3 linked regions of the Rhinolophus ferrumequinum genome follow. The protein of the gene in region 1 interacts with the protein of each later gene in a biochemical or structural test. Links are inferred from orthologs where the notes say so. Each region holds a gene or a part of one and is shown in the gene's direction. Other genes may lie near its edges.

What was found.
Region 2: the proteins of galectin-3-binding protein (region 1) and LGALS3 form a complex in vitro, tested with the Homo sapiens proteins (4 studies listed by BioGRID). The link is inferred for Rhinolophus ferrumequinum from reciprocal best matches to the Homo sapiens genes LGALS3BP and LGALS3.
Region 3: the proteins of galectin-3-binding protein (region 1) and LGALS1 form a complex in vitro, tested with the Homo sapiens proteins (2 studies listed by BioGRID). The link is inferred for Rhinolophus ferrumequinum from reciprocal best matches to the Homo sapiens genes LGALS3BP and LGALS1.

Annotation. Positions count from the first base shown.
Region 1 is NC_046304.1:52,739,047-52,749,880, reverse strand, and holds the start of galectin-3-binding protein, read left to right. Parts: upstream 1-5,864; 5' UTR 5,865-5,980; intron 5,981-6,688; exon of another isoform or gene 6,689-6,812; intron 6,813-10,834.
Region 2 is NC_046289.1:38,187,404-38,197,398, reverse strand, and holds the start of LGALS3 (galectin-3), read left to right. Parts: upstream 1-5,916; 5' UTR 5,917-6,052; intron 6,053-9,995. UniProt on the Homo sapiens protein: Galactose-specific lectin which binds IgE. May mediate with the alpha-3, beta-1 integrin the stimulation by CSPG4 of endothelial cells migration.
Region 3 is NC_046293.1:9,224,447-9,234,423, reverse strand, and holds LGALS1 (galectin-1), read left to right. Parts: upstream 1-5,856; 5' UTR 5,857-5,977; coding exon 5,978-5,986; exon of another isoform or gene 5,987-6,036; intron 6,037-7,129; exon of another isoform or gene 7,130-7,215; coding exon 7,216-7,295; intron 7,296-8,435; coding exon 8,436-8,607; intron 8,608-8,905; coding exon 8,906-9,052; 3' UTR 9,053-9,105; downstream 9,106-9,977. UniProt on the Homo sapiens protein: Lectin that binds beta-galactoside and a wide array of complex carbohydrates. Plays a role in regulating apoptosis, cell proliferation and cell differentiation. Inhibits CD45 protein phosphatase activity and therefore the dephosphorylation of Lyn kinase.

The DNA of each region.
Region 1 (10,834 bases):
TTTGTGCTTCTTTCTGGACCCTTGTTCCCACATCTTCTCCAATCTACTTGGATGCCACACCTGCCCTCCTTGTTCGCTCATCCCTCCTCCCAGGGCCCCTATCCCTGGCTTCACTTGGACAGAGGATGTAGAGACTGGAATGCTGGTTTGGGGTGCTTGGGGCAAAGCAAAGAGCCTGTGCCTCACTCTCCCTTGCCATGGAATTTCCTTCCCGCCTCTGCTCCTCACGTGTGTCTGCCTAGAAGGCTAAGGAATCAAAAGGGAGAAAGGCGTGTGCCCGCCTGACAGCCACCAGGCACACCAGCCTGCCAGGGCAAGCTGAGGACATGGAGTTGGAAGAAGAGGGAGGTTCTGAGCAGTGGAGCCCATGAGTGCCCAGTGACCTCTCGACAGAGACCCAGCCTCTGACCCTCCACTGTGGGAGCAAAGGAAAAAAAATGCTCCTGGCCCTGAGTGGCCCCAGAGGAATTCACGGACACTCTGGCAAGATTCAGAAACCCCATTGGAGATGCTGTTTCAACTGGTGTTAGAAGACTTGGGAGTTGCATGTGTCTGAGGCTTGGCCAAACTTACATCCATGGTTGATTATCGACACAGGAAAACCCCGAGATAAGCTCGTCGGCTTCGTTCCTGTACGTAACTCGAAGGACTTTCCCGTCAACAAGACCCAGGCCCGGCACAGGACTGACCTTCCCCTAGCATTCCGTCCTCAAATAGCCTTTGCAGCGGGGAGGCCAGAGCACACCACAGCAAGAGAAGCAGAAGAGGCTCCATCTCCATGCGGCCCCTGCGGGACCTTCGTCCAGGATGTGCGAGGCTCCGCGTGTTTCTCGGGTCCGCGTGTTTCTTGGAACTGTAGTGAATCGGGAACCCCATGGATGCAATGGGAAAGCTCCCCATTGCCCTACCCAGGGACTCAGGCCTGGGGAGCGCTGGACCCACAGAGGACCTCTGCACACGAAGCTGGGCACGCGGCTTGAAAGAGAAACAGACGCAAAGATGGACGATTTGTCCCCTCCCTTCACCCCTTCCAAGACAGTTTTGGTGTTGAAGAAGTAAAGGACAGTTACCTCATAGATAATTCAAAGCCACGAATTGGGCGGGGAGGAGGCCAGGATGGAGCAGAGCTCTAGAAGTCCAGTGGCGGGACCCCGTAAGTCCTCAGCTTGGGAGCGCTGCCCCAGCTCGGTGGGCCTTACCGTTTCCTTATCTGTAAAGCAGAGACAGGTCCACGGGTCTCTGCCGTGGAACCCGTGAGGCCAGATGTGCTCAGAGTAAGATGCAAATAAAACAGAGCATCCACCCCAGCGGTTGGGGGGCAGCACCCCTTCATTGGATACTTGCAGGTTCGGCCGTGGGGTAAACGAAGGCCGTTCAGAGCCTCGCAGTTTGCGTCACCTTGTTCTGTCAAATTCGTTGGTGCCCAATTTAGGGGAAAACGAAGTTGTCAGAGGATTATGAAACTAATTTCTCACACAGTTGATGAAGGGTTGACGGAGCAGGTACAAAGTGCTGGAATGTTCATCACAACTGTCATCATTGTAAGTATAGTCTTCTTCCCTCCCTTCTCCTGGGTTGAGCCCCCACGTCTCCCGAGAGATTAGAAAAGGGATTACTCATTTTCCTGGAGGCAGGGGGTGGTATTAAACGTGGCAACAAGAGCTGGGCTTTCCCAAGATGCTGGTGTGAAACAGAAGGCTCAGAGGCGTGGGGAGCTCAGAAGCACAGGAACTGAGGTCCGAGCACATTTTGGGCCGTAGCGTCACGGCCCACAGCTCAAGCCAACAAGGCCAGGCTCCCAAAGAATGCAAGTCAGCCTTCAATAAAGGAAATAAAATACCAAAACACAGCTGGCCATGGCCCTGATGCCCTTTGTCATCAACGTCATTTTCTGCTTTAAAATTTTGAGGAGGAAAGATGGGAAATTTGTCAAGCTAGGGGCGGTCTTACAGACGGCCTGGTTCTCCTCCAGGGTCGGCGGTAGCGCCCCCAAGCAACCAGGACAGAACCTTCTCAGTTCAGCAAGTATCTTCCTGTTGGACAGAGTCCTGACTGGAGCTGGGACAGGAGTCATGGCAAAAAAAAAAAAAAAAACCCAACAGCATTAACACATCAGAACCCAAAGCCAATAGCAGTGCCTGGGGGAGATTTCATCAGCCTTGTGACGGGTCAGAGGCCAGGGCCAACCAGCATGAGGAGGCCCCCACCCCCCAAGGACTCTGTCTTGGGCTTCCAGATGGCCACGCCCATCCTGGAATTCCCTGGGAGCTCATACCTACACAAAGGATGTCTGGGCCAAGGCCAAGATTCAAAGGCTTCCTGAATATTCCCAAGTGGCTCGTCTGCTCAGACAAGGGCAGCTCATGGGATGTAAAGCCCAGAGACCCATGCGAGAACATTCTCTGGGATAGAGGCCCAGAAGGCAGGACACTCTGTGTCCTCCCAAGTTGGCCAATTCCTTGCTTTCCCTGGGCATATCATTGCTACTCACCATGTCTGTTTTCTCATCGTTGCAGAAAACTATGTGACCTTGGTTGAAGTCTGTAAGACCCTTGGTTCCAGATCAGCACAGCCTGTCATTAGCAGCACTGTGATTTTTCCCACTGCGGCCCTAACATTCTGCCTCTCCCAGCTATTTTGGGCCGGGCTGCCCAGTTGTCCCACAACGGCAGAGGCCGATTGCAGACTTTTGAATTCCTATCTGAAGGGTAACCACAGGCAGGCTCAGATGGCAGGGTCTCACTGCCAAGGGGTGGGGGTGGGAGAGTCTCCGTGGAGATTCGGGGAAGGAGCTGAGATGGAAACTTGGCAGCCAGATCCAGCCTCCCTGGCCGCTGGCCCACGCTCGTTGCTCCTAGATGGCAGTGCCCGTGGTCGAGAAGACTCAGGGCAGGTGGGAATCAGGACTGGCAGCTACAAGGACAGAGCAGGCGGGTCTGCTGCCTCATGCTCCTCACACCTGCAGGAGACCCCTCTAAGGAGGACAAACCTTTCATGGAAGTCCCCTCTGCACTCTTGATGCAAAGACGGGCAGTCAGGGATTTAAAAAAAAAATACACGTGCAGTCTCACTTTGACCATTTCTGTGCTTTCTGACTCTAATGATGCCATGTCATGCCCCATGCCTCAGTTTCTCCATCTCTCATTTCCATCCCTATTTTGAGAATTCCTTTTGGGAACTTTCAGAGATTGGCATAGACAGACCGTAAGGCAATGTTTTAATAAAATGGGAGGGCCCCCTGGTGGACTGCATAATTCTAAGCACTCGACTTTGAAATGAATGAGTGAGTCCATTGAGTAACTCAACACATGAATGAATGACTAAAGTGAAGAATTTTTCGTTGTTCATGCACAGCCCAGAAACCAAAGGAGGAGAGAATTTCCTGCAGAAGGCCATGGTGAAGTCTCCAGTGATGCGAAGAAGACAAAGGGAATGAAAACTGAAGGAAAACCTAGTTGTAGATGTCCGTGGAGTCACTGACCATAAGGAGTGCAATTTCACGGCACAACCTCTGCGGAAGTCTGTCTACTCACTAGAGGATGCAAACACCCTTTGATATAGTAATATTTCTTCTGGGGATAATATTTATTCTGGGGATCCTACATATATCTTCATAGTTGTGCCCAAATAAGTAACATCGCTGTAATGTGAAAAGATCACAGATATCCCGAAAGAACATCACCGGGGCCTGGTAAAGTAGATGACATCCCATCCACACGGTGGAATGCCACACACCGCTCTGTGGAGAATGAAGCAGCTCTCTGTAAAATGCTATGGGACAAGCTATTCTGTGAAGTGAAAAATTACAAACCTTACTGAAAAACTTTTTTAAAAAGACCTACGTAAACGGAAAGGCAACCACGTTCTTGGGGAGAAGACTCAATATCATAAACATCTCAGTTCTCTCCCAATCAATCTACAGATTCGAAGCAATTCTATTTAACATCCTAAAAGGTAGGGGCATGTGGGCTGCTGTGGGGGTGGGGAGGGCAATAGTCCTGCACCCTATGAAGGCTTAGTATAAAGAGGTGATAATGAGGACAGTGGTATTGAGCTGATATGAAATATTATACCCATACAGTAACAGAAATTCCCAAACAGAGCCACATGTCCCTGGAGACTTGAGCTATGGCAAAACTGGCACTGCACATACATCAATGGGGAAAGGATGGATTCTTTTCTAAAAACAGCACTGAGATGTTGGGGCATGTGCAGCAGAAGAAAGATAGATATATAGATATATAGATATCAAAAAAATCTGAGAAAGATACACAACTTCTCAGTAATCAGGCAAGGAGAAGACATTTCATGCTATCAGATTGGTAAAATGAATGAATACACCTGATAGTACTTGTGGGCCAATGGGATTGCTCACCCATTGCAACAGGTCTATTTCATTTTTGTAAAATACATGCATATATATATATATATATATATATATATATATATAGTTTAGGGATACAAACCTATTTGCTAAAATTACAAAATAAAGCACAAGAATGATTACCACAACATTCAAGATTGTGTTTATCTCTTGGGGTGGGAGGAAGTTGGCAACAGGAAGGAGTACCTAGAGAGCTCTCTAGATAACAAGATTAGTGTTTTATTTTTAAGTTGGGAGCCATACCTGAAAGTAGATATCTTAGTAAAAAAAAGATGTGAATAATTTAAAATAATTATACCGTGTTTCCCCGAAAATAAGACCTAACCGGAAAATAAGCCCTAGCATGATTTTTCAGGATGACATCCCCTGAACATACGCCCTAATGCGTGTTTTGGAGCAAAAAGTAATATAAGAACCAGTCTCATTTTCGGGGAAACACTGTAGTATATGGTATATGGTTGGGATACAGTTTAATATGATGGAAAATATAAATGAATTCAGCAAAGGTTTTTTTTCTCCCCTCCCCCTCAAAAACGCAGAGCCTTATGTTTAGCACATTTCCATTAGGTTTAAAAGTAATTTAACATATGTGCTATGATTCGTTTGTGTGTCACAAAATATCTGTAAGAATGACCACAAGAAACTAGTACTAATGGTTACCTCTGGGGAGGGAACGCAGAGGGGGTATGGAGGGAGGGTTATCTTTCACTGCGCACCATTTATATAATTTGAAATTTCTCTTGTGCGTCTGTTGATGGAAGGCTGTTGAGAGACCAGGGATGTGTGCATGCAGAGACCGAAGGTGCAGACCGGGAGCACTGACGCACCCCCTCGCCATGCTCCTGTGTGACGCTCCACTACTATAGGGCTTTTTTTTTTCTTTTTTTCTTCCAGGATTTCTAAAATGAGCATCATTACAGGACTTAGGGGTGAGGGGCCGGGATGCCTTTTAACATAGTCCATTCAAATAGCTCAGGGGGCTGGAGAAACGGGATGAATTAGAGACCCATGTTTGGAAAGGGGTTCGTTGATTGCAAGTTAGGGGGGCCCAAGCCCAGGCCGCTCCTGCCTGTACACCTGTGTACTGACCTTTGCTTTGGAAACTGAGCTACATTCAGACGTAGGCGGTTAGAAGAGCCAAGGGAAGGGCTCTGAGAATGAGGGTGGCAGAAATGGTTCCGTGCCTCTACGCCCCGGGAGGACCACGAAGGTCCGGGGGACCAGGCAAGGGGTCTCACAATCTCAGCTCGAGGAATGATACCCCCCCTCCCCGTAGCCTTCACCTCCGCCCCCCTCCCCTTTCTGCTCGGCCGACGTTCCAGAATAACGCGGTGGAAGGGGCCTGCGGGTGGGGAGCGCGGACAGCCCTCCTCCCTCCGGTCCTTCCCCCGGCCCAGCTCGCTGAGCATCCAAAACTACAACTTCCAGTAGCTCCCTGCACGCGGCCGGCGCGCAGCCGCAGAGCAGAGGCTGCCGGGAGCGTGTTGCCCGGAGGCGGGACGAGCGCGCCGGGCGGAAGTCGGCCGCCCGCTCGGTCCCGGCCCTTCCCGCAGCGAGGCCCCGGCTTCCGCGGGACCCCGAAGCAGCCCGCCCCGGGTGAGTGAAGGCCGCGCCCGCAGCCGCCCGCGCTCCCCCTCGCGCCGGCCTCCCCAGCGCCTGCCGCCGCCCTCCGACCCCGCACGCTCCCTCCCTGTCTGACCTATTGGGGCCCCTTGACCCACAGGTCAGCGGTCCCCTCGGACGGGGGTGCCTCGGAGAAACTGTCCCCTCCTACCGACGGGGGGCGACACCTACCCCTCTGACTCGGAGACTCCTCCCCCGTCTGACTGGCGGAGTCTGACGGCGCGGACTAGCGCCCGCGCCGTGTTCGGTGCCGCCACTCGGACCTGGGCAGGGCCTCTCCTGATGGGCTCGGGAGCCCGCCCGCCCTGCCTGGCACCGGGTCACCCCTGCAGCGCGCCAGCCTTCCCCACCCCAAGCCAGGCCTTGCTCTCCCTGCCCCCAGCGCAGCTCCCTTTCCTCCCTTTTGCACTCAAACGGGCCACGCTCCCCTTTCCCTCTGCGCGCCTTGCGCTCCCCCATCTGGTCTGGATCCTTTTATCCCTGGGGATCACCGCCTCCTTGCCACCCTCGGTGCGTTTCCCGTGCCCTCTGTGTGCCTAGGTTTGGCAGGCGTTAACACCTGCCGGCAGTCTTCCGTGCGCCAGACCCCGCTTTCTCCCAAGCACCTGTGTCCCTCAGGAAACCCGTGTCTCTCAGCAGCACATCGGCCCCATGTCTCATTCCTGCTTCGGGGTATGTGCTTGACGGCTTTTCCTACCACGTTTCGGACAAAGCGCAAGTTTGGGAACACACATCTGCTGGTGTCACCTGAATCTTGCCGGCACTTGGGTGTAAGGGCCAAAACTTGACAAAAGCACAGTCGCAGGTAGGTCCATGGAAAGGAGGCAGGTGCTCAGCCTCCCGTTCCTCCCCCTTGAGGAGCTCGTTGAGTTAGGTCTTCCTGGGCTGGGCTGCAGAGCGTTGTCCAGCCCCCAGCCCCAGCCCACGGGCCTCAGCCGCAAACAATGCAGCCTGAGCCTGTGGGCTCAGTGGGGCCTCTTCCAGAGCCAGGGTGGCCTCCTGGTGGCCCTCCCTGCCGGCCTCAGTGACCTTCTGTTCAGCCCCGAGTGCCCTGCTGAGAGGCACGTTAACAGCCCAGCCTGCTCCCCTCTGGAAGTGCAGGGGTGTCCAGTCCTGTGCAGCCCAGATTTGGTCAGGCACTGTCACAAGGCCACCACCAGTGGGCTGGGACACAGGATTCTGGGTCTTACTCTTTCGTGTCCAAATGAACCTGATCACAAAGGTGATGCTGCCTCGCCCGGTGGTGGAGGAAATCACATATTTCCAAGGGTGTGGGTACCAGTGTGTCACCATGTGATCCCTCAGCTGTAAAAATCTGATCCTTTGATACCTTCCATTAGCTAAACGTCTCCTTTGTTCCCCCAAATGTAGTTCACGCCATATTTTCATAGCCCACAGCAACGTAGTGAAGGCGTTGGTTTAGGCTGCTGGTGCTTGAGGAAATTTCTACCCGCCAGTCCAACTGCACCTAATCTGCATGTCTTCCAAGCCCCAGAGGAGTGAGGAGACACCAGGGTGCCGGGTGGGGGGCAGGTCTCGCTCGGGGTGTGTTCATCCCCACCCCCTGAAGGGGGCCTTTGAGGTGAGCGCTTGTGGGCTCCCACAAATACACATGGCCCCTTTCATCTGAGTCTCAGGACTTTCTTGGCAGCACTGTGGCAGTCGTCATGGCAACTGTATAGGGTAGGTGTATAAATGCTCTAGTGTTTTCTCTTTCAAAAACAGAATATCTCCGATCGGGGAATATGGTTCAGAGTCCTGAACTGGATCGGTATTATGACAAGGAAGACGTTTCCCTGTTGTACAGACATTTGTGGCGTGGTACCCAGGATACTGAAAAAAAAAAATTATTTTCCTTTCAGTGACACTCTGGACTATGGAGATTTCTGGAAAGTTCTTATTAATTGCCAACGTTAAGGGAATTTAAAATTTTTTCTATTAATTGTTTAGCACTTTTATGTTGATTTTCCTTTTCATCAGACCAAGACAAAGTCCTGATATTAGCAAAACCTGTTTGGGAAAATGTTCGTTTTTCTGTTTTTGTCTGCATTTCTTTTGAATCCCACTCATTTATCTGTAGTAGCGCTGCCATTAAATGGAAGTCACAGTTCCGGTTCCCAAGCAGAGTGCCCTGCCATCCCTGCCCAGCCAGGGACCATGCCGTGGGAAGTGAGGCGGGGCCATGTGCACGTGGGGCCTGACCAGGTACAGTGAGGGCGCATGACAGTGTGGGCGTGAGCGTGAGGTTGGAGCCGTCTAGAATGGCTCGCTGGCCACTGTGCCTGGTAGCCCCGCGCTGAGGCACGCGGGAGAGCAGGTGGGTTCAGGCAGGTGCGTCCACTGTCTGTGGGAGCAGCCCTGACTTGGGCCGATCGTGGGATTATCACATCCCCTTGTTCCGGGCTCTCCAAAAAACAAGCCGAAGATGCGTAGTTTTGTTTGGGATGAGGGCACTTTCAACTGGGAGGGCAGCTGTTTTCCAAAAGTCCTAGATGACGGCACAAACTATGCACGCACAGCGGCTGTGGTGTAAGGATGAAGTGCAGACTCAGGCTGTGCCCCCCGCCCCGAGGCAGAGCTGTGTGAATGGTCCCGGCCCCCGGGAAAAGCTGTAGGTTCTTCCCGGCCCCTGTGGCCGGCAGAGTAATGCCCATCCGCACCCGCAGAGGTCCACGCCCTGACCCCCGGGACCTGCGAATGTGTTATGTGGCAAAGGGGGGCTAAGGGAGCACGTGGAATTCCAGGTACTTATCATCTGACCTTAAAAATGGGGGCTCGTCCTGGATTGGCCAGGTGGGCCCAGTGTGACCACAGGGCCCTACCAGTGGAAGGGGGGCCGGAGAGTGTCAGAGGGGATGATGGCGGAAAGGCCCAGGGAGATGCAACAGTGCTGGCTTTGAAGGTGGAGGAAGGGGCCACAAGTCGGGCTGAGGGCAGCCGCTAGCAACTGGAAACGGCCAGGAGACGGGTCCTCCCCTCGAGCCTCTGAAAGGACCAGCCCTTTATTTTGGCCCAGTGTGACCCATGTCGGACTTCCGTCCTGCATCTGTAAAGTAAGTGTGTGGTGTTCAAGCTGTGCAGCCTGCACTGCTGTTACAGCAGCAGGAGACAACTGACACACTCCGCTTGGGCGGCTGACTTACAAACAGAAACAAAGGACAGAAAAAGAAGTCACCCGAACTGTATTTAACTTGACTCGGTGAGCAGTCGTGATTGCCTGTCACGGAAGGGGCTGAGTAAGGGACAGGCGGGCGAAGGGAGGATCCAGAGAGCTGGGTTTAGACGCTGTCAGCGCTGGTGCTGGAGGCCCTTGGTGTCTGTCTTGCCTGTAAGGAGTCTGAAGGTCAGCGCGTGTCACTCTACTTTCCAACCAGAAAGTGCACTTTGCCGGTGGGCAGACTAGGGACTCCTGCCTGCAGTCTGATGGCTCTTTAGGACCGTTCAGAGACCGTGGTGGAGAAGGAGAGGCAGCCACTCTGCAGACCCCAGGGCCTGGGGAGGACAGTGGCTGCCCCGTCCCTGAGGCAGGGAGCTGGGAGCGGGCCACCTTATCTCCGAGCTGAACTGTGCTTCCGGCCCTCCCTGGATCCTGAAAGGTCAGAGTTTTGCTCAGGTAGCTGCCTTAAACCTGTTTGTTCTGCCACCTGTCCGGGCCACTCCTACAGGAAACCGGGGAAGCGACCCTCTTGGCTGTGAGCTGAATGTAAGCCTTGTGTCGGGTGCGGAGGCCAGCCTGGGGGTGAAGGTGAAGGTGGGGGTGTCTGAGCCTGCCCTGATTCTTGGCTGCAGTGGAGGGGCTGCTCACTCTACTCCCTGGGTGTGTACCAAGACAGCGTGCTGCCCCCCTGGAATCGGGGGGTGCCCTGGGGAGCTACAGACACAGCCCTTACACTGACGCTAGTTCAGGCCTGTTGCACAGGAAGCCGGAAATGCATGAGTGTCAGTGAGCCGTTCTTGAGACCTGCCTGAAAGGGGGTGGGGGGCTGGGGCTGGAGCCTTGGGGGTGGTTGTCCCTCCTCATGGTTAACTCTCTCCAGCCTGTTGCCCTGCCCTGTGGCTGGCTGCCGGCTCCAGAAAAAGGAAGCCAGCAGGGGTGCGGCCTCCAGGGGGCTCTGAGCCTGGAGAGAACTTGTTTGCTGGCCCACCTGAACAGGTGAGCCCAGCGACTGGGTCCTAATTTTCTTGGTGATATAAAACCGCCCGTTATGCTGCAGATGGTGGGGCTGATAAACTTGTCACAGGAAAGCATTTCAGCTGCTTAGAGCTCTGAGGAGTGTGGGCAGGGAGAGATGCCAGCATGGGCCCTGCTTCCCGGAGGGCATGGCTTTGTCCATTTCTCTCTCACCTTCACTGGCTCATTTCTGTTGGGGTGCGTGGCTGGCGATTTTTTATTTTTTAATAAAAGTACAAGTTCTCGCTCTGCACCAGGCCTCCCGCAAGACAACACAGGCAGCTTGCCATTGACTTTCGGGAAAGAGCCGGCGTGGGGGCGTAGAGAGCGCACGAAGAGGCATCTGACTGGAAACTTTCTTTTCTACAAAATGAAAGTAACTCCTTGCGATACTACCCGAGGGATGAAGACCCAGGCCGGGCTGACCCGGTGGGAAATCAATGTGGAGGTGATGCTAGAGGGATTTTCTGGAAGGCAGACAGAGCTCTGCTGTCACCAAAGTCTTCGTCCTCTTATTTAATGAAAGGTGACCTGCCCTGGGCGTTCTCTCCCTCCCTCAGTCTGGGGAACCAACCTGATGGAGCAGGGCCCTTCCCCGCAGGAGCTCAGAGCCCCCGGGAAGCAGATGGTTGCAGCCGCTCTGGTCTGTGCTGTCC
Region 2 (9,995 bases), on another chromosome or scaffold:
AGTTGTTGTCTTCAATCTAGTTGTGGAGGGCGCAGTTCCCTGGCAACCTTGTTGTTAAGAGCTTGGGCTCCACCCAACGGCAGCCATCCGGCTGCTCCCACTCACACTTTTATATTTCCCATAGTTCTATTCTCTCTCTAGTCTTCCTTTCCAATTCTGTTTTCCTATTAAAAATGAGCTCTGCTCTCTCCTCCAACTAATTTTTTCTCTCTCTTTTACTCACCCTCTGAGGCCCTCTCTTTGCTCTCATCTTCATCTCCTAGTCTTTCCTGGCTCTCTCTAACTCAAGTTCCCCTCATCCAGATGCCCTCTGGACCTTCTGGAATGCCACCAGCTTCTTGGAAGTTCTTCCTTCCTATCCTGGAGACAGGCCTGTCCTAGGGTCCTGGATTTTTGTCAAGGTCCCCAAATCTCTGTATTAGTAGAAATCAGCCAACCTATTGTTTGAAGTCTAATAGTGAGCTTGTCCCTTATTTTAAATAGCACAGTGATCCATACATAGAAGTCATTCAGTGATATTTTTATCAATTTTGTTAGATTGCTTTTTACATTTATCTTGGAAGCATTTATGCAGGCTTTGAGTTGGGTACTCATGAGCCATTTGCTGCATGCGTACAAATTTAAATTCCCATGTACATCCTAATCACAGCAAAATCTTTTGTTAGCATTAAGGGGCATGAAGTTGGCACTAAAGGGCACACGAGAATGTGCAAATAAAAAAGTGAAGACAAAAGGATGTCTGATCATACGGATCAGATGTAAGTGAGCCCAATAAGTAGCAAGAACGTGAGCTTTAACTACCCTTGAAATCACCAAAGATTAACCAGCAAGATAGGCAACAGGGTGACTCACCCCTTATCTTCATAACAACCTATTGGTTATCCCTTTTTCTTACTACCAGAAGCTAATCCGCTAAGGACATTGGTACCACACCTGTTTGCGTGGCCTCATGACTCAAAGTCTTAAGATTTACAGCATTTTCTCAAGAGACAAAGGCCGTTCCTGTGGGTAACTCCTTTTCAACACCCAAAGGTTAGTCATATACTATGGATGATCTGTTCAAGTAAATTGGTTGCCAGGTTCCCTCTTTAGAGAAGAAGTTATGCTTTCACAATTAGTTTCCAGCTACACAGTGATTCATCCTCAGCACACAGTGACTTCTATGTGCAAGCTTAGAGGGAACAGTGACGCAAGAACAGTACCAGCCACTAAGGCACTTTCAAATTTATCCCAGGGGATGCCAAGACACCTTTTCAATTCCGTCAAGTGAGAATTCCCTCATGTGCACATTTCCCTCTGATGGTGGAAAACGGGTGAAATCATTTATCTTTCCACAGCTTATTAATTACTTTGCTATTTTAGGGAGTACAGGAATTATTTAGGAAACACATTATACCTGGTTTTCTCCCTAGTTTACATAAATTGGTCCCTGCAAGGATGCTCAGTGTTTTTCTAGATGAGTTATAAAAGTCAGGACTTCTGGATTCTGTTCCTAGACATGAATGAGCTTGGATAAGTAAATCATTTTCCCTGACAGTAAAAATGAGAGGAGAATACTTATCTATTTCTTCCAAGAAAAAGATATGATGAAGTTTAAAGGACAGTATACATAATTTTAATTTCCTGTGCAAAAGTATTAAAGAGGTGGCTTATAATTTCTTCATAGTTAAGTTGCTTTGAGACTAGGTCTATTTATCCAAAAGAAATGATCAATCTTCAGTGAGTTTCCTGGGGAACAGATATTTAAAAACTTTTTTTGTATTGTACAAACATAGTAACCTATTAATCAAATTCTTCACTCTTAAATTTTTTTAAATCATTTTTAAGGGGAATTAAATAGTTAACTAGAGGGAAGGGCATTGAAAGTGATAAAATCGAACAGCCACAGGAGTTTCTCCAGTTCCCACACTATGAATTTATTCACTTAGTAAATATTGAGTGCCTACTACGGTATGTACCACTGGGTCCATCAGTGAATAACACAGTAAAAACTCTGCAGACAGGGAGGGAAGTGAAAGAGAAGCAGGGGGAACCAACAACATACAGCAGACATAAGAAATGTGTAGAGTCAATGGCATGCTGGAAATTGCATATACTATGGGGAAAAAAGTAAAGCAGGGTAAAGGGGGATTAGCAGAATGAAGAACTGGGGGAGGTTCGAGCTGTGATTTTAAACAGGGTGGTAAAATAGTAGACTCTGGAAGAAGGTGGCATTTGAGCAAAGACTTGAAGAAGGTGGGAAAGTTTAGTCAGTAGATAATGGGAGAAGAGAGTTCCAGATACAGGGAGCAGCCTGTGCAAGGATGCTAAGTGGGGAGTGAGTCTTGTGTGCAGGAGGAAGAGCTGGGGGCCCTTTTGGCCAGGGTGGGGTGAGCAAGGGGTGGAAAATAGGAGGAAATGTTTGAGTTAAACTCCAAATTTAAATGTTTGCTTCCTTCGATATCCTTAGTAACAATACATCTTTATGTTTTAGGTTGGTGCAAAAGTAATTGCGGTTTAAAAGGTTAAAAACAACTGCTAAAACCGCAATTACTTTTGCACCAACCTGATGTCACGCATCCATTGTTCTCTGACATCACAGGATCCCAAGTCGCCAACATGACAAGGCTCCTTGGGTCACCTTACATAATTTCTAAGTTTACAGGAACATTCCAGCCCATGATCACATTAATGTATTTTATTTTTTAGCTATTTATAGGTAGGTGGAGAGATAGCTATAGATCTATATATCTAAATACACATCTTTTTCTGGTAAAATGTAATTTGGTTTTTCATTAATTCCCACCCTTCAATCACATTGGATCAGTGAGATTATAACACAATACCACCTTTCCAATTTTCCATTTTGGTTTACTGAGTGAAGTCATTGTCCAAAACACAGAACACGTGTAACTGTATCACCAAGTTACATCACAACTACCCGTTGCCTAGTTCAAGCCAGGCCTCCTCATCCCACTGAGGTTATTTCTAGGCTCCCCGTAGTTCTGTTCTTGCATGAGCAGGGTTCCTTTCCTAGCCCCTCCCCTGCTCTATGTGCCCCCAACCCTGTGGTTTAAGCAGACCCCTCTCATGCTAACAAAGGCCAGCCTGCGTCAGCTGCAGCAGCTGCCCTGCCCCTTGGGAAATTGTCATTACCTACTTGAGGAAACTCCTGGTGACACTGCCAGTGAATCCGCCTGGTGAGAACATTAATGTCTGTCCCAGCAGTCTGCTCTGGAAATCTGCGAAGAGCCAGCATTGCCAGGGGTGGGTGCAGAAGGGGGAAGAATGGCTGCCTCACATCTGAGGACTGTAGTTTGTTACTTGGGCCTCCATGCACCTTCTCTCAAAGCTTTCACAAAGACAGCCCTATTCTTCTTTCCCTGGGGCTCCAACCCAGCAAAAGAGGCTGGGCTGAGATTGGTTCTGATATCCTCTCCTTAGTCCTTTGTCCTTACTCCATTCTCTAGCACTGAATCCCTTCCTCCACTAGCCAAAAATCTAAAAGCTCCCAGACATAGATCAAGCAGACACAGAGGCTTTCTCATATAGGTTATCAGCCAGACACAGAATCCCAGTGTGAGACAGGAAACTGTTCCTCAGCACTGAAACTTTGGAATGGGAAGAGTGACTGCTCTGTTTTTTCAGAGAAAATTTCACTTCGTGGTCAATTATTCTTTCCATTTCTGAATGGCACTTTCCAACTTCTAAATCTACCAATAAAAATGTGGTGGCCTATTGTAGGTGGCATATCCTTCCTTCCTTCTCTTTCTTTCTCCCCCCTCCCCTCGCCTTCCCTCCCCTTCTTTCCTCCCTCCCTCCCTCTCTCCCTTCCTTCCTTCTTTCCTTCCTTCCAGTTTTGTCCTTTGCCTCAATCTGGTAGGTATTTTTATCAATAGGGATTTTTATCCCCATTTTCAAACACTGATTTCTCAGACCCTGACATGCTCTTAACTTGATCTATGTTGTGCTCTTGGTTATATTTAATTATCTGTGCCTCAGTTTTCTCATCTTTAAAATGGGGATAAAAATACCTACCCACATACTATATGTATGTAAAGCACTAGGTATAGTACAAGACACATAACCAGTGTTCGATGAATATTAGCTGTTATTAACAACTAACTATTTTTTTGATATACATATATAATGATTACCACAATAAAGTTAGTGAACACATCCATCATCTTGCATAGTTACTTTTTTTGTGTTATGAGAATATTTAAAATCTACTCTATATTCCAGTGTGTGTGTACGTATGTGTGTGCGTGAGAGACATTTTCTTTATCCATTTATCCACCAACAGACACTAAGGTTGTTTCCATGTCTTGGCTATTGTGAAAAATGCTGCAATAAACATGGTTCAGATATCTCTTCACGATAGTCATTTCATTTCCTTTGGATATCATACCCTGAAGTAGGATTGCTGGATCATAAAATAGTTCTATTTTTAACTTTTTGAGGAACCTCCATCCTGTTTTCCATAGTGACTGCACCAATTTACATTCTCACCAACAGTGCACAAGGGTTCCCTTTCTCCACATCTTTATCAACAGTTATGTCTTGTCTTGTTGATGATAGCCATTCTACTGGGTAAGAGGTGATATCTCATTGTGGTTTTGATTTAACTTTCCCTGAAGATTAGTGATGTTGAGCACATTTCCTTGTACCTGTTGGCAATTTACATGTCTTCTTTAGAAAAATGTCTATTCAGGTCCTTTGCTCATTTTTTTAATTGGATTATTTTTTGCTATGGAGTTGTATGAGTTCCTTGTAGTTTTTGGAGATTAACCTATTACAGATATATGGTTTGCAAATAGTCTTTCCCATTCTGTAGATTGCCTTTTCAGTCTGTTGATTGTTTCTTTTGCTGTGCAGCTTTTTAGCTTGATGTAGTCCCACTTGTTTATTTTTGTTGCTTGTGCTTTGTTGTCATATCCAAAAAAAAATCATTGCCAAGACCAATGTCAAGGAGATTTTCCCTTCTGTTTTCTTCTAGGAATTTTGTTTTCAGGTTTTACATAGAAGTCTTTAATCCATGTCAGGTTCACTTTCATGAGTGGACATCTGAACTTCTTAAAGAATCCACCTTGCTCATCCTTAATCATTTCGCTCAGCTCTTATCCAGATAAATGATACCAGATACTAAATACAGTCTCTCTTGTAAGCGTTGGTATTTGTTGTAACAACCTTTCCTCAAGAGTAGCTTTATCCTAGTCCGGCCCTTACCAAATGTACTTTTGTGTTTCACTGTTCCCTCCTTCATCAGGGCTCTCCCCAATCTTGGTGAAAACAGATAGTTAGACTTTCTAGGAAGTGACTCATTATTTTGTTCGTTCATTCACTCATGAAGCAAATATTCACTGAGAACCTACTGCACACAAACACTGCACAGATGATGGATGAGGAAGCAGGAGGGAGCAAACAGCAAAACAATTTAGGTCTCAGTCTGAGACGTGTGTGCCCACATCACAGTTCAGAAAGGCCAAGAACTTGGGAGCATTTCACCCAGCATCTCAGAAAACAGGTCAGGGCCCTCCCAGCGCCCCAAGTCACTGTGAGCTTCTTGAGAAGGCTTTGATGCTGAGAGAGGGTTTGGGTAAAGTAAATGCAGAAGGGACGAGAGCGCCTGCAATTCAGTAAGAAAATAAGTAAACACCGTTAAAACAAGCAAGCAAGCAAAACTCCCTAAAGAAGCACACACCCCAAGCTTCACAGACTCTCCCTATCTTCGTCTGAGGAGTCAGGTGAAATTTGGAGAGAGGCCTGTGAAAGTGGCCACCCTCCAGGTCGAGGAGGGGTCCAATGGGAGGCGGCAGGGGTGGGGATCACCCTTCAGGGTCCCGCCCGCTGTCTCCTGGGTCCCAAGGTTGTGTTTTGTGCCCAGCGGGGCTCGGGGCTCACCCAGCTTGTTCCGCAGGGAGAGGCCGGGTGGGCAGGGGTGGCGGCCCCGCCCCGGCAGAGGCGGGCCAGGCTGGGTGTATTTGAGGCTCGGAGCCGCCGCCCTGTCGGGGACAGCAAGACCTCACCAGGAACCGCACCCAGAGCAAGCAAGCGAGTGCCCAGGATTCGGGTGAGTGGCGCAGGTACCGGGGACGGGGACCCGGCCTGTCGGCGGCTCGGGGCGGGCAGGGGCGAGGGCATCCTGGCAGTCCTTGGTGCGCAGCCCCCTTTGGAGGGCTGCGGCGGGAGCCTGGGGGCGGCGTGGCTTTCCGGGCGCGGGGCGGTGGGCACCAACAGCTGGAGAGCCCCGAGCGGAGCGGTGGGCGCCGTCTGAGCGCGGGTCCGCAGCCTTTGACGCTCCGGAAGAGGGGATTCGGGGAAAGTTAGCAACGTCTCACAGACTCACACACACCTCCTCCGGGCGGACGGGTGTGTGTGCAGACACCGGGCGTGGGCACAGGGCACGCTCTGCGGCGTCTAGGAGGCTGAGCCATGCGTCCTGCCCTCCCGCCGCTGGGCTACCTCGGAATCAGCGGAGGCCAACTGCTGGCGGGTGGTGAGGGGCGCGCCCAAGCTTGATACAGGAACCAGGTCCCCTAAAACAGCACACAGGGCGTACTGCTCAGGGACTCTCTCGGGCGGCTGCTGGGACCACTGACTTGGCTGGCCGGCCACCTGATCTTGCTGTGCCGAGCCAATGTGTCGTCTACCACGCCCAGCAGCGTCCGTGACTGCCGCTCCTCTCTGCGTGCTGATCCCACAAAAAACGGTGCTGCCCCAAGGCCTGAGTGGGCATGTGCCCAGCTTGGCAAAGACTGCAAACCCTACGCTTTTCCAAATCAGCGACTCCTCCTGGATCAGATTGGCTAATTTGGGCATTAATGATCTCAAATCTGTGCTGAGGATGTGTAGGGTGTGGCAGGATGTTGGCTAGAGTGTGCAGAGCCCTAGTTGGTGTGTGTGTTAAAAACATGTTCGAGGATTTATTCTCAATTGTCAGTTGTGCAAATACAAACACTGAAATACATCCACTCAGGGGTATGAGCTCAGGGCCAGTCAGTCAGGAACACATAGGTTGAGGCTGTGACTTAGGTTTCAGGCCAGACCCTTAAAGTTAGTGATTCCTGTTCCAGATACTGTGGAATATTTGTAAAGTGACTCCTGGGAGTTGGGTTGCTGGACAATGAGGACGGGTGGACCTCAGTGACCTAGTCTGTTTCTAGGATTCTGGGAAAGGAATCAGGCTCAGTTAATTCTGACGAAAATGATAGCAATAAAAATTAACCACTTGGGCACAGAGCATGAGAAAAAATTTTCACCAACTTCCAAAATTCTGACTCATTTGTCTCAAGTATATAACGTTTATCTTTCATACTAGGAAATTGTTTTTTCATGAAAGCTAAAATTTAATAATAAAATTAATTTTTCCACAGTGGTCTTCTTTTCAGACATTGACTTTAAATCTCTAGTTTCTCAGTCCTTTGATGGCTGTGCCTCATCTTTGGTCTTTGGGAGATTGGAGCTGCTTCCTAAATTCATAATGGTGGGGGTTTCCACTTAGAATCAGCATTATTCCATATTCTGGGGAGAACTTTGATGATGATCCTTGAATGTATGTGAGACTCGTGGTAACTGATCTAAAACATAGGCTGTTTTTCTTGTGATGGTTTGGGACACAGGCTCCTGCTGAGGACAACTAGGTAATATTTGGTGCCTGAACAGGTTCTTCTCATTAAATTCTGAGTGGTAAGCCTGCCAGGGTAGTGCTTGCTGTATACTTGCAATTTTCTGCTGACTAAGTATCATGTGTTCTCTCTTGACTGATATTCAGTTTTTCCACAGGGGGAAATATCAGTAACTGAGAGGCACAAAGTAACTTTACCTTCCTTGATGCTGAGGAACTATGATGAGAAAGAAATCCTAGTAAAGGACCAGTGTCCTTTATTCCAACTCAGCATCGCTGAATTTGGCTTTGGAAAGTGCCCTTTATCCAAGTCCTGCTCTGCTTTTAAACAGGGCAGGAAATAGACTGTCTTGCCTGTGTTCTTTGGAGAGGAGTGTGGGCAGAGCCCTGGGGTTCTGAGGAAATACATTCGTGATCTATTTCCCTTATGGCTTGTGTAAAGGTCGGGGCCCTTTGTGAGCAGAAGTTTCACAAGTGCTCCGAGGAACCCGGGCAACTGGATTAATTGCTAGATGGGCCTTGAATAAAATAATAGAATAGATAACTGCTCTTTATTAAAGGGAAAAGCTACAATTAATGGATGACTAACATGGTCAACCTTCTGACTCATGTTTAAAGTCCTTATTCCAAAGCAAACTGAACTACCTCCTGTAGGTTTTTCCAAAAGTGAAGACCCAGGTTGTACTTCCTCTATTTTTTGTTTGTCTTTGATGTAGTGTTTCTTTTCTGGCTCTCCAAAATTCTCTGATTCTGGAAATGCCAGGATGGAGTTCACATATCTATAGTACCTGCAGAGTGGAGAGGTTTTTTTTCACATTTGTTGAACTATATAAACTACTCATTTATATAAACTACTCATGTACAAAAAAAAAAAAAAAAGGAAGAAGAGAAGAGAGAGAAAGAAAACAGAGGAGAGAGCCTAGATAGTGGAGTAGAAAAACACTGTGCCTGTTACATTAGTTACATTACAACTAAATTATAGAACAATCAACCTGGAGAATCATCTGAAGTCTGGCTGAATAGAAGTTTTATAATTAAGGATATAAAGAAGAAGCCACATCGAGACTGGTAAGAGGGGTGGAGACATGAAACGGGCAGGACCCAAACCTCTGTGTGGTTGTTGAGAACCAGGAGGGATATCTCAGCCAGGGAAGTTTCCCCAGAGGAGCAAGAGACCCCGGCCCCACACCAGCCTCCCCAGCCCAGAGCACTGATGCTGGGAAGAGGAGCCCCCATAACATCTGGCTGTGAAAAACAGTGGGGATTTCAACCATCTGACCGGGACGAAAGGCTCCAGGGAAACCAGATGTCCTCTTAAGCGGCCTGTGCACAAACTCTCACTCACAGGCACTCACCTTGGGCTCCAGCGGAGGGGCAGTAACTCAGGGGATATCAGAGGATGGGGTGCGGGGCAGACTGAGGTGTGTGATTCGGAGTGAGGGTTGGAGGACGGTTGCCATTTTCCCTGTAAGGAGGTCCTTCCATGCAGCTGGGTGCTATCTTTCCTGTGTTGAGCCCGCCCCCACCATGGCCAAATCTGAATCTGATTGGCCTGGTGAGTTCCACTGCTCCACCCTGCTGAATCCCTAAGACACCACTCCACCCAACTCATCCAACACTAGAGGCACTTTCTCTTAGAGCAGCCAATCCCACCTGCATTGCACTCTTTCTTGAAAACTATGGGAGTTCACAGGACCCAGGCAGGCAGCAGCTGGCCTTGGTGTGCTCTGAGACTTTTGCTGCATAGCTCCAGGCTCAGCACTGGCACCAAACCAGAGTCTACATTAACCTATTAACAACAACTTTTCTCACTATACTGACTCCCTGAAACCCTGCTTCACCCAACTCATGTATTGCACAAGGCTTTATCAGGCTGAACCATAAGGGAGCCAACAGGTGTCAGCAGGCCTCAAGGTGTTCTGACTTTTTGCAGAACTACCCCAGGCCTGGTACTGGTGGCAGCTGTCCTCAATTCACAGCATAGCCTCTCCCACGCACCTCCAGGGGTGGGAAAGGCAGTAAATAACCACAGATCACTTTGTAGTTCCTACCAGGTAATCCCCGGCCCGTCACAGGTAGTGGGTGACCTGGGCCTGCACTGAAGCTCCTCGCAAGAGGCCCCAGAACCAACATACTTGGAGGTTGGCTTCAGGCCACAGCAGAGTACTGCCTAATTAGCCCCACAAGTGGCATACCCGAAGGGTGGTCTCAAACAAGCAACAAAGCCCACTGGAACAAATCCCACTCATTGGGGTAAGCCTCCCTCACAGCAGCCTGTAAGCTGTGGACTTGATCAAACCCCACAGCCAGTCAGCCTGAGGGTTATTCAAACCCACTGATGTGCCAATAGCAATCAAGGCTCAACTACAACAGGAAGGGACACACAACC
Region 3 (9,977 bases), on another chromosome or scaffold:
GGTTTCAGTAGTTTCCTGGCTTTGCCTTCCCTCCATGTTCACTACTTTCTTGTTGACCAGAGGCCTTAGAGATACTTTCTGTTGTCCCTGAATAACTTTTCCCTTTAGGGATAGCTTTGAGACTAGTGGCCGAAGTTCAGACTCACTGAAATCTGAGCTTGGTATAGTGTCAAGGTCTCACCCAGCACTCTCTTGATTTCATTTTAGCTGTTACAGATAAACATAACCAAGGGACTATATATTTCTTTTTTTGCATTTCCTTACACATCAGGTAAACCAGCTCCCCGAGAACTGGCGCCATCTCTAAAGTCTGTTGATAACTTTTATCTTTTTTTTTTAAATTGGGGAATATTGGGGAACAGTGTATTTTTCCAGGACCCTTCAGCTCCAAGTCAAGTCGTTTTCAATCTAGTTGTGGAGGGCGTAGCTCACTGGCCCATGTGGAAATCGAACTGGCGACCTTGATGTTATGAGCACTGCGCTCTAACCACTGAGCCAACCGGTCGCCCAATTTTTACCTTTAATAACAGTACAGCACAGCTGCTGCTGCACACCAGGGGTGAATCCGTGGCACCCAGGCATCAGAGGTTTCTTGTGCCCGCCCTTTCTTCCTTCCCCTTCCCAAACCACATGTTTCCGTGAGTCAGGGATTCTAGCAAATCCCACTTCTCTGACGCCAACTAAAAGGGAAAACTGTTTCTCCTCTACCCACAGAATACTTCGACACCAGATGTGTGGGTTTTCTACATCAAGCAATTCTCCAGCTTTCTGCAGATGCTAACTGGGTGTCCCACAAGTGAATTCAATCCTGGTACTACCTGGAGTGAGTGCAGAACCCATGTGCAAATGAACACCCATGGACCCTTCTCCTAGGCTCCCCGTTGTTATTTGCCCAATTTGTTCAATTGCTCTTTATATATATTTACACTTTTAACTGATTCATTCAAAAGTACGTTGCAGACATTACGACAGTTGACCCCAAAACCTTTAGCTTGTCTCACCAAAGAGCAAGAACTGTCTACACAGTCATAACTCATGATCATACAATAACCCAGATTTTTGATGATTTCATTGGGCCACCGGATTAACCTGCCATGGAAACCTCCTAGCTCCAGGCTTGTTATGTGAACATTTTCCTTCATTTTAAAGCAATGTCCATTAAATTTTTCTGTTACTTGAAGCCAAAAACTCTTGATACGCAGGCCCCCCAGGCACATCATAGAAAACATTAAAAATCACTCACATCCCACGTTAAATGTATGTTACCGAACTAAAGGGGGTTCATTGGCCTGCGTGCATCAGGGCCAAACGAGACATGAAAAGGCACTTTCCACAAAGAAAGGAAAGGTTCATTTAGGGAAATGGTGCCAAACCCGGAGACACAGGGGAGCTAGCACTCAAAGATCTGGCTCTCCAATGGCATGTAGGTTACAGATTCTATAGGGCAAAATTACAAGACCGCGTGGGTTAAGGGTTCAGGATCATGGTGGGAGGTGAAGTAAGGGTAATGAATCATTTCTAAAGATCTTACTGAGGTTTCTTCTAGGGTCCCTCTGTTCTGTCTCATGGGAAAGTAGCCAGGGGGTCATTCCACCTTATGGCTCGAGCTGAAACCTGACTTAGGTCAAGATGTTATCTTTAGTCAGCCAGAGCTCCCAACCCTTCACCATTAGTCAGGTCCACTATTGTCTTCTGCCACCTTCGAGGTTGCTGATTATCTAGGGGAAAGGCTGGGTCTCTGAGGGGCTTAGAGAGGGAGAGAGGGATATGATTTCTAGAGCTAGGATTTAAAACTGAATTTAACCAAAGTCATAAGGACCCTCCATTTCATATGTGGAGGGTTTTGGTTTTTGTTTCTCTTGCTATATATATTTTTCGAAGTATTTTTATACTTTTGTTTTACACTTTATTTGGCTATGGGGAATCTAATTTAGGAGTAACCAACCTTTAGGAAGACTTGGGCCCATTTTTGAAGAAAATTCAACCTACAAAATTGTTTCCAAATGTAATACAATTTTTATGACTACCACCTTTTAAGTCTGAGCACATTTATTAATTCCAGCTTTGTACTTTTAGTACTTTGGAGCCAATACTTTTTTTTACTTCAGTTCTCAAATATTTTCTGAGCTCTTAAAAAGGCCTTTGCTTCCTGTGAGTCTATAATTATGACCAAAAAAAAATGTTTGAAAAAAAAAAAAACCTGAAAAAGACTCCTGCCTGAGCCCTGGGGCTCTAAGGAATGACAGGGCCTAGAACCCAGCCAGATCTCATAGGAGAAGAGGGGAAGTTCCCCAAAGGCGAGTTGGGGCCTGTGATCAGAGGACAGATACCAGGTGGGAAGACAAAAGTGACAGACCTCCACAGTGTTTGGGGAGGTGGCTGTCTAGGTGGGAGAATAGCACAAAGGCAGGGAGACAAGAATGGATGAGCAAGGTCAGTGGGGGGCGGCTCCTGCACAAACCAGTTGGAAAAGTGCCTAAAGTGGGAGGGAGTGGGGGAGGATTCCCCTTGCCCTGCCACCAGTCCTTCCTACCTTCATGGAGCAGGATCCAAAAAAGGTCATTATTTGAAGTCCAGGTATCTCAAGTCCTTCGTGTTCTTTCCTTGGCTCAACAGATGAAAGGGCTTCAGCCCTAGCTTCCTGCGTGACCTTGGTCAAGTGGCCACCCTCCCTAGGTGGTTGCTACATCATCAAATGAGGGAGCAGTTCAGGTGTGGTATTTGGGGGTCTCTCCCTGCTCTGACTTCTAGGACTCCTGGCTCTGACCACTGCCAGCTGCAGGAGGCACAGCCTTCACCACGGGGGAACGGCAAGGCAGGGTAGGCTGGGAAGGGCCTCCCTGGCCTGGATCCCCCTTGGGGCGAGCTGAGCTCATCTCTCATGCAGCAGCCAAGGTCCAGCCTGTAAGATGGTCTGTACGATGGAGGAATTCCAGAGAGCCCACTGCCTATGCTAAAGGACAGTGATGGGGGAAGGAGAGCCCCCGGCAAGGGGGCCTTGGCCTTGGGGGAGGGTGCGGGAGAGAGAACTAATGAGCCCTTCACACATCACTAATCCTCCAACCAGCCAGCAAATGGGTAAAAACTGGGTAACGTTCCCACTTTCCAGGCATGACAACAGGTTCAAAGACTTCAAAAACTTGGCTGCATTCACAGCCAGGCAGCCCCCAAACCAGGACTTGCCTCTCTTCTCCCGATTCTAACATCAGTTTCATTTCAGGGCCCAGAGCGGCTTCCCTGTGCCGTTCAGCCCAGTTGGCAGACAAGAAGAGGTGAGGTGAAGATGAAATGAGATAGTGTATGAAAGCGAGGCACCGGGCACAGGGCCTGGCAGATAAGTGGGCGCCACCACACAATGCACCTTGTCCCTGTCCCTCCCCCAGGAAAACCACCATCCCTCTTATCACGGATACTGGAATCTGAGAGACTCCCCGCCCCAGCCTAGGCAGGAGGGACTGATGGAGATGAGGTGGGGGTGGAGGGACCTCCCAGAGGTATTGACCCCAGGAAGGTAAACAGCCTGAGAAAAGATGCAAAAACCTTCTAAGACTATTAAAAAAAAAAAAATCATCTATTTAGTACAACACACCAGAACTCCACCCCCTGCTAACCTTGTACAGGACAACAGGGTTTTACCTCCCCAACTTACAGATGGGGAGACTGAGGCAAGAAAGGAGAAGGGACTTGTCAGGATGCCTTGGGGAGGGCATGGTAGATCTCCAGATTCCCAAAAGGGCCTTTCTGGGGGCCTGTTCACCACGTTACACCGGCTCTCTGCCATCCCTCAGCTGGCCAGATGCTGAAGAAGAGTAAACAACCCCTCACCCTGCAGCAAACACTCCCTGGTGCTGGGCGTGTCTTCCGTGTAGCGGGGAAAACAGAGGAGCAGCTCTTGGGGTGCTGGGAGCCCAACTACTGGGCTGGAACAGCCAGCCAGGCCCACCTGATGGCAGCCAGGCAGGACTGTGCCTGAAGTACTTCTGTCCTTGGTTTAGAACACCTCCTGAAATGCACAATTCCTTGATCAGGCAGAGAGAGGGTGCCTGTGGCCCTGGGAAGGGAAGCACAGAGGAAAGGCAGCGGAGCGGGGCCCTACCCACTCCTCCGTAGATTGAGGTTTGAGGAAGGCCCTGGAGGAAAAAGTGAAGCTGCTGTGGTTGGTTTCTGAGGCTGCAGGCTTGGTCTGGCAGGAGGGGTACGGGATTCATAGGGGGTGGGGCCCAGCCTTCTCTCTAGGCCTGCCTCACAGTCCCATGCACTCCCCACGCCTCCGGTGCCAGGGTGGGCTTCAGTCATCTGGAGGAAGGTGGCCTGTGCCGGGGGCGGGGGTAAGGGGTGGACAGTGGCAGCTGGACTGGGAGGCATCGGAGGGCAGGGCAGGTTTGCTGGCTTAGCCTCCAGATGTGAGTCACTCCTGGTTCACATCCTCCTCCCTCTTTGGTTCCGGCAATTTCAGAAGGGCGACAGTGATGTGTTAAGCCTCCTGCCTTGCCCAGTGCTCCCCATGCCCCTCTCTCCACCTGGCTCGTGAGTGTGAGGTGAGCACACCTCCACACACACACACACACACACACACACACACACCCTGTTGTTACAGTAATCGTCCCTGGAGCCCAAATCTGGCCTCAATACTCACCCTCCCTATAACTTTCTGTGGCTCCCCAGCGCCCTCAGATGAAACAATGTCCAAGCCCCTTCAATGAAACCCATCCTGATCCAGGTACTGTTGGCCTCCCCGCCTCATGCCCCATCTTTCCCCAACATACCCGAAACTCCATCCATGCTCATATGCTTGCTGTTCCCCAGATCTGCCCAAGCTGGAATGCCAGCCCGCCTTCTTCACCCATCCTTCAAGACCCACCTTCACCATGATGCTTTGCTCACGACTTCCCTTAGAGCCAATATCGTACTATTTCTTCATTAAGTTCATAGCCAGATTCTGCCCTAACAGCGGGCTGCTTGACAGCAGGAACTGTGAGTTCCATCTTTGAATCCTCTCAGACCAGCTCAGGGCCAGGCACACAGCAGGTGCTCAGTAAAGTATCTGCTAAAGAGATGGAGAAAGGAAGGGCTGTGCCTGACCTCGGAGGGAGAATATGAGGAGAGTGGACGGGGATGCACAGAGCCAGGACCCTAACCCCTCATGGCCTGGCTCAGCCTGGGCCCCCTCCCAGGCCTCATCCTCTTCAGACAGGCCATAGGCTGTCAAGTAGGAGCTCTTAAGGGATTCCCCAGCAGGCCCCTCAGGAGGGCCCAGGCCTGAGCCCTAAACCCTGGCGGCAGCCTCAGACCTGGCACCCTGCCCAGCCTTTCTTTAGCGCTAGCGAGGAGCACACGCGGCAGCAGCCACAATCCCTGCTTCCGGGGGAGGCCCGGGTGGGGCCAGGGCTTTGTGGTTGATGGGTCCTGCGCCCTCTGCAGATGCCCACAGAGGGAGTCACACCCTGGTCCCTTCCAGGGCGCAACCTCAGGAACCCCAGATCTAATTCTCTCAAGTACCATGCATTCCCTCATTGGTCTTCTCTGGGTACCCCCTGAGCTCAGTCTGCTGGCTCTTGGCCCTTTTCCTCCAACTCCAGGGCCTAGCTCATTCTCAAACTATTTTCCATTGGCTTCCCCCAATCCCTGCCACAGCACAATTTTTGGTATGGGGAGGGTAGGGAAGAAACAGAATGGGAGGCGGAGTCTGGACTCTGGGGGAGTGGTTAAGAAGGAATGGGGGGGATCACAATTCTGATTGGTCAGTTCTGCTCCAGAACTGGCTTCAAAATTCCATTGACTCCACCTCCAGTGGCCCCTATCCTTGTCCTGGCTTACAATTGGCTGATCTTTCTGGGGGCGGGACTCACCGGTGGTCTGGTCCATTTAAAAGGATGGGAGCGGCCCAGGGCCCCATCTTTCGGGTGGAGTCTTCAGACAGCTGGTGCGTCAGTTCCCAGGACCATCAGTTCCCAGGACCATCGTCTTGTCCTCAGCCATGGCTTGTGTGAGTGTGGAGACCCCGCCCCAGGTCCCGGATGGCGTCAAGGCAGACAGCTGGGGAGAGTGAGGGCAGATGAAGATCGGGGTTTTGGTCCCCACGGTGTGGCCTTGAGCAAGTGCCTTCTCTTTTCTGGGCTTCAGTGGCCATGTCTCTAAGATGGGGTGGGCACCATGGTCCCCCAAGGCCTTCTTCAGCTTAAGAATTTTCTAGATTCCTCCAGGGTCTGGTAGTACAGTTATTCCTGCCATGGTCTGACATTCTGCAGCTCTCGAGGTAGGAGTAGGAAGGGTGTGGCCAACTGGGCGGCAGCACTTTGATGAAACCCAGGGCATTGCCCCTGCCCCCCCTACTCTAAAGAGCCTCCTTTTCCCCCTCATGCCCCCCCGCAGCTGTCCCCAGTCACCGGGCAGCAGCTGTCCCCAGTCACCAGGCCAGGGCAGTCACCCTTTGCACTAGAGAGCTCTGAAATGTCACCAGGATCTGAGACAGGCTGCCCAGGAAGGGGCCTGCCTGGGGTAGCGGCTGGAGAGTGGTTCTGTCCAGGCTGGTCAGGTGGGAGTTGGGGGAATTCCCCACCACCCACTCGGCCAAGCTGGGAGGGGGTGGTGCTAAGGGAGAAAGAAGAAGGCAAGAATCTTCCTCAGGCCCCCAGGGAAAGGGTTCAAGTTTCTGGCGCAAGGAATCACTCACAACCAGTTAAGCTGTGAGCTCAATCGTGTTAACCCCCAGCCAGCCAGGCTGCAGATTCCGGCCAAGGCCCTTCTGTAGAGGCGCCTGGCTGTGCTCCTTGGGGGTTTCCTCTCCAGCCCCTGCCTCTCTCTACTTGAAGGGGATAGTGGGGATCTGTCAGCCCTAGGCCCCTTCCTCTTCAGCAGAGGGGTAGACCCCTCCATTCACCTTCCTTTGCCACTAAATCCCTCACGCACCGTCTATTACATGAGGTTCTCTCCAGCTATTACATGGAGCAATGGAGCATAGTTCCCCACCTCCCAGGCCGCTCTGAATCCAAAATCTCCAAGCTGAACCGCAAAAACTTCTAGATTTTGGCTTCTAGAACCCCAGTCTTGTTACAGACAGGAAACTGACTGTAACCGGCTGGAGTAGGGATTTGCCCGGGACCACACAGAAAGAAAGGCTAGAACTTACACCCGGGTTCCCCAGGCTTCCAGTTGGCCTGAGGATCCACCGGGACGCGTTGGCTAACCCAGCTGGGCGGGGTCTTGTCTGCGCAGGGTCTGGTCGCCAGCAACCTGAATCTCAAACCTGGGGAGTGCCTCAGAGTGCGGGGCGAGGTGGCCCCCGACGCCAAAAGGTGAGGGAGCGAAGACGCGGGTGGTGGGCGGTAGGGGCTGGGGTTCTGAGCCCAAGGGTCGCGTCCCGAGTCGGGTAGGGGCGTGGCCGGCCAGGCCCCGCTCCTCCCCACCCTCCGGCGGAGGGGGGAAGGGGTTAATTCAGGCGGCCTCAGAGGCTGCGTTTTCTGGGTGAGTCACTTCCTCCGCGGGATCTGGATGCCCCAACCATTGTCGCCCCCTCCCCTCCCTGCTGGAGCCTCTTAAACTAAACCAGCTGCGGCCTCATCATAGACCTTGGCGGGACCTGAGGCCGTGGTGGGGGCAGGGCAGAGAGAGGGAATGAGAAGGGTATCACCCCCGCAGCTCTCCCTCTGAGGTCCCTCTTTCCTGCATGCTCAACCTTTCATTCCTTCAGTCCTTCCTTCACTCATTCACTCATTCATTCAGCTAGCTGGTCAATTTTCTCAGCAGCCGTGTGACCTTGAACTAGTCAACCAACCACATTGAACCTCAGTTTATTAATCAGTAAACCAAAACAAGGGGGACAGTGGTTGTATGGAGGAAGTGAGATGCTGGGTCTCTCAGAGCCCACGAGATGATCAGCTGACATTATCAAAAGGCTGCACACCTCCCATGCACTATTCTTTCATTCTTACCAAACCCTCAGGGACAAGGATTGCTATTACCTCCACTCAGCAAATGTTCGGTCTATCAAATGTTCATTCTCCCCACAGTTATTGAGTACCTACTGTGTGTCATTCATCATGCTGGGCACCAGTGGTACAGAGATACACAACACAGATGGGACACTTGTCCTCCCAGAGGTCACCATCTGGAGGGAGTCTCCGACTTTGACCAAAGGGGCTGGGACACAAACTAACATCTACAAGAGTCTTGGCTATCAGCACAGCATGACCCATAAAGATCCTTCTTGTACAGTTCCCACTGTGCAGATGAGGAAGCTGAGGCCCAGAGAGGGGCAGGTACTTGCTCAAGGTCACACAGCAAGGAGGTGGTAGGGCCAGAGCTAGAATGCAGGTTTCTTTTCTCCTGGCTCAATGAGTTCTCCCAGCTAGATGCACTGATGGTGTACTGAGTAGCACAGACTGGTTAGTCCGAGGGCGCTGCAGCTGGCCTCAATCCCACCTGTTACCCACTAGCTTCGTGCTGAACCTGGGCAAAGACAGCAACAACGTGTGCCTGCACTTCAACCCTCGCTTCGATATACATGGGGATACGAACACAATTGTGTGTAACAGCAAGGATGACGGGGTCTGGGGGACGGAACTGCGGGAGCCTGCCTTTCCCTTCCAGCCTGGAAGTGTCACGGAGGTGGGCTGGGGATGGGACTGGAGCAGGGCACTGGGTGGGCTGGGGCAGAGCTGGGTTTAGTGGCTAGTAATCTAGGTCCCACCCTGCCCTTTCTCCCCTCCCCCCTTCATCTGCTGTGTTATCTCCCTCTCCCAGCCTCAGTGGCTTCACCCATGAAGGGGGACTGTTGTCAGTCAGGGCTACAGGACGAAAGGCTCTGGGAGGGCCCCTGGCCTGTAGGCCATGGCATTGGCCGCACTGAGGCTTCTGCTTGGGGGTCCACGCTGCTCACTGCCCTTCGCACCCCCCCTCCTCCCAGGTGTGCATCTCCTTCGACCAGGCAGACCTGAGCATCAAGCTGCCAGATGGATACACATTCAAGTTCCCCAACCGCCTCAATCTGGAGGCCATCAACTACCTGGCAGCAGAGGGTGACTTCAAGATCAAGTGTGTGGCCTTTGAGTGAAACCAGCCCACCCGTGGCCCCCAATAAAGGCAGCTGCCTCTGTTCCCGTTGAACCAGCCTCATGTGTGGTGTGTGTGTGTGTGCGCGTGTGTGTGTATGTAAGTAAGTGGGTGGGTTCCACCAACTCCCCCAGGTTCTGCCCCTTCCTTCACTTCTGTGCACTTTCTTGATGCACACCTAAGTGCCGGTGACATCTTCCCCAGGGTCCCCTGGGTCCTCTAGGCCAAGCAGAGAGCTCAGTACACAGAGGGGGCTTAGTGACTACTAAATAAGACCCAGTTGCTGTCCTCAAACAGCTCCCAATCCAGTGGACCCCAGCATACAGTAGGTGCCCAAAAGATGGTGCATAAATGAAACCAGGGGAAAAGAGGCAAGGACAGACTGAATCATGTCATGGTATCTGGGGCCCCTCTCATTTGTTTTCACGAAGTAGAAAAAGCTAGTTCAGATGATGGTGCAGGGCTACCAGCTGTGTGGCCTTGTATGTATTAACGGACCTCTCTGAGCCTTGGTTATTCATTTATATGAAGGGACTAGTAGCACATAGCCTGTTGTGAGGGTTAAGTGAGATATGTGAAAAAGGTCAAATTTAGTGTGTGGCACATGGTAAAGGCTCAGTGAGTAGTGGTTTCCCATCTCTGCTGTACTACCTCTTGAGATGTTAGTGTACCCCTGCTTGAAGGGGAGGAAACAGGCTCTGAGTGACAATATGACTCCCTGGTCTATCTGTATCAGGTCCAGCTGAAGCTTGAGTTGGGAGCCTGGCAAATCTCTAAAACAGCCAGCAACCACCCTGAGACCCTGGGTTGGTCTCTTCTATCCCTACCTTTCACTTCCTCATCTATAAAATGGGGGTCATATTTGCACCTGGGCTCTTTTGGGTGGGTGGGTCCCCTAGGGGGCACATTTCTATAAGAGGGCCAAG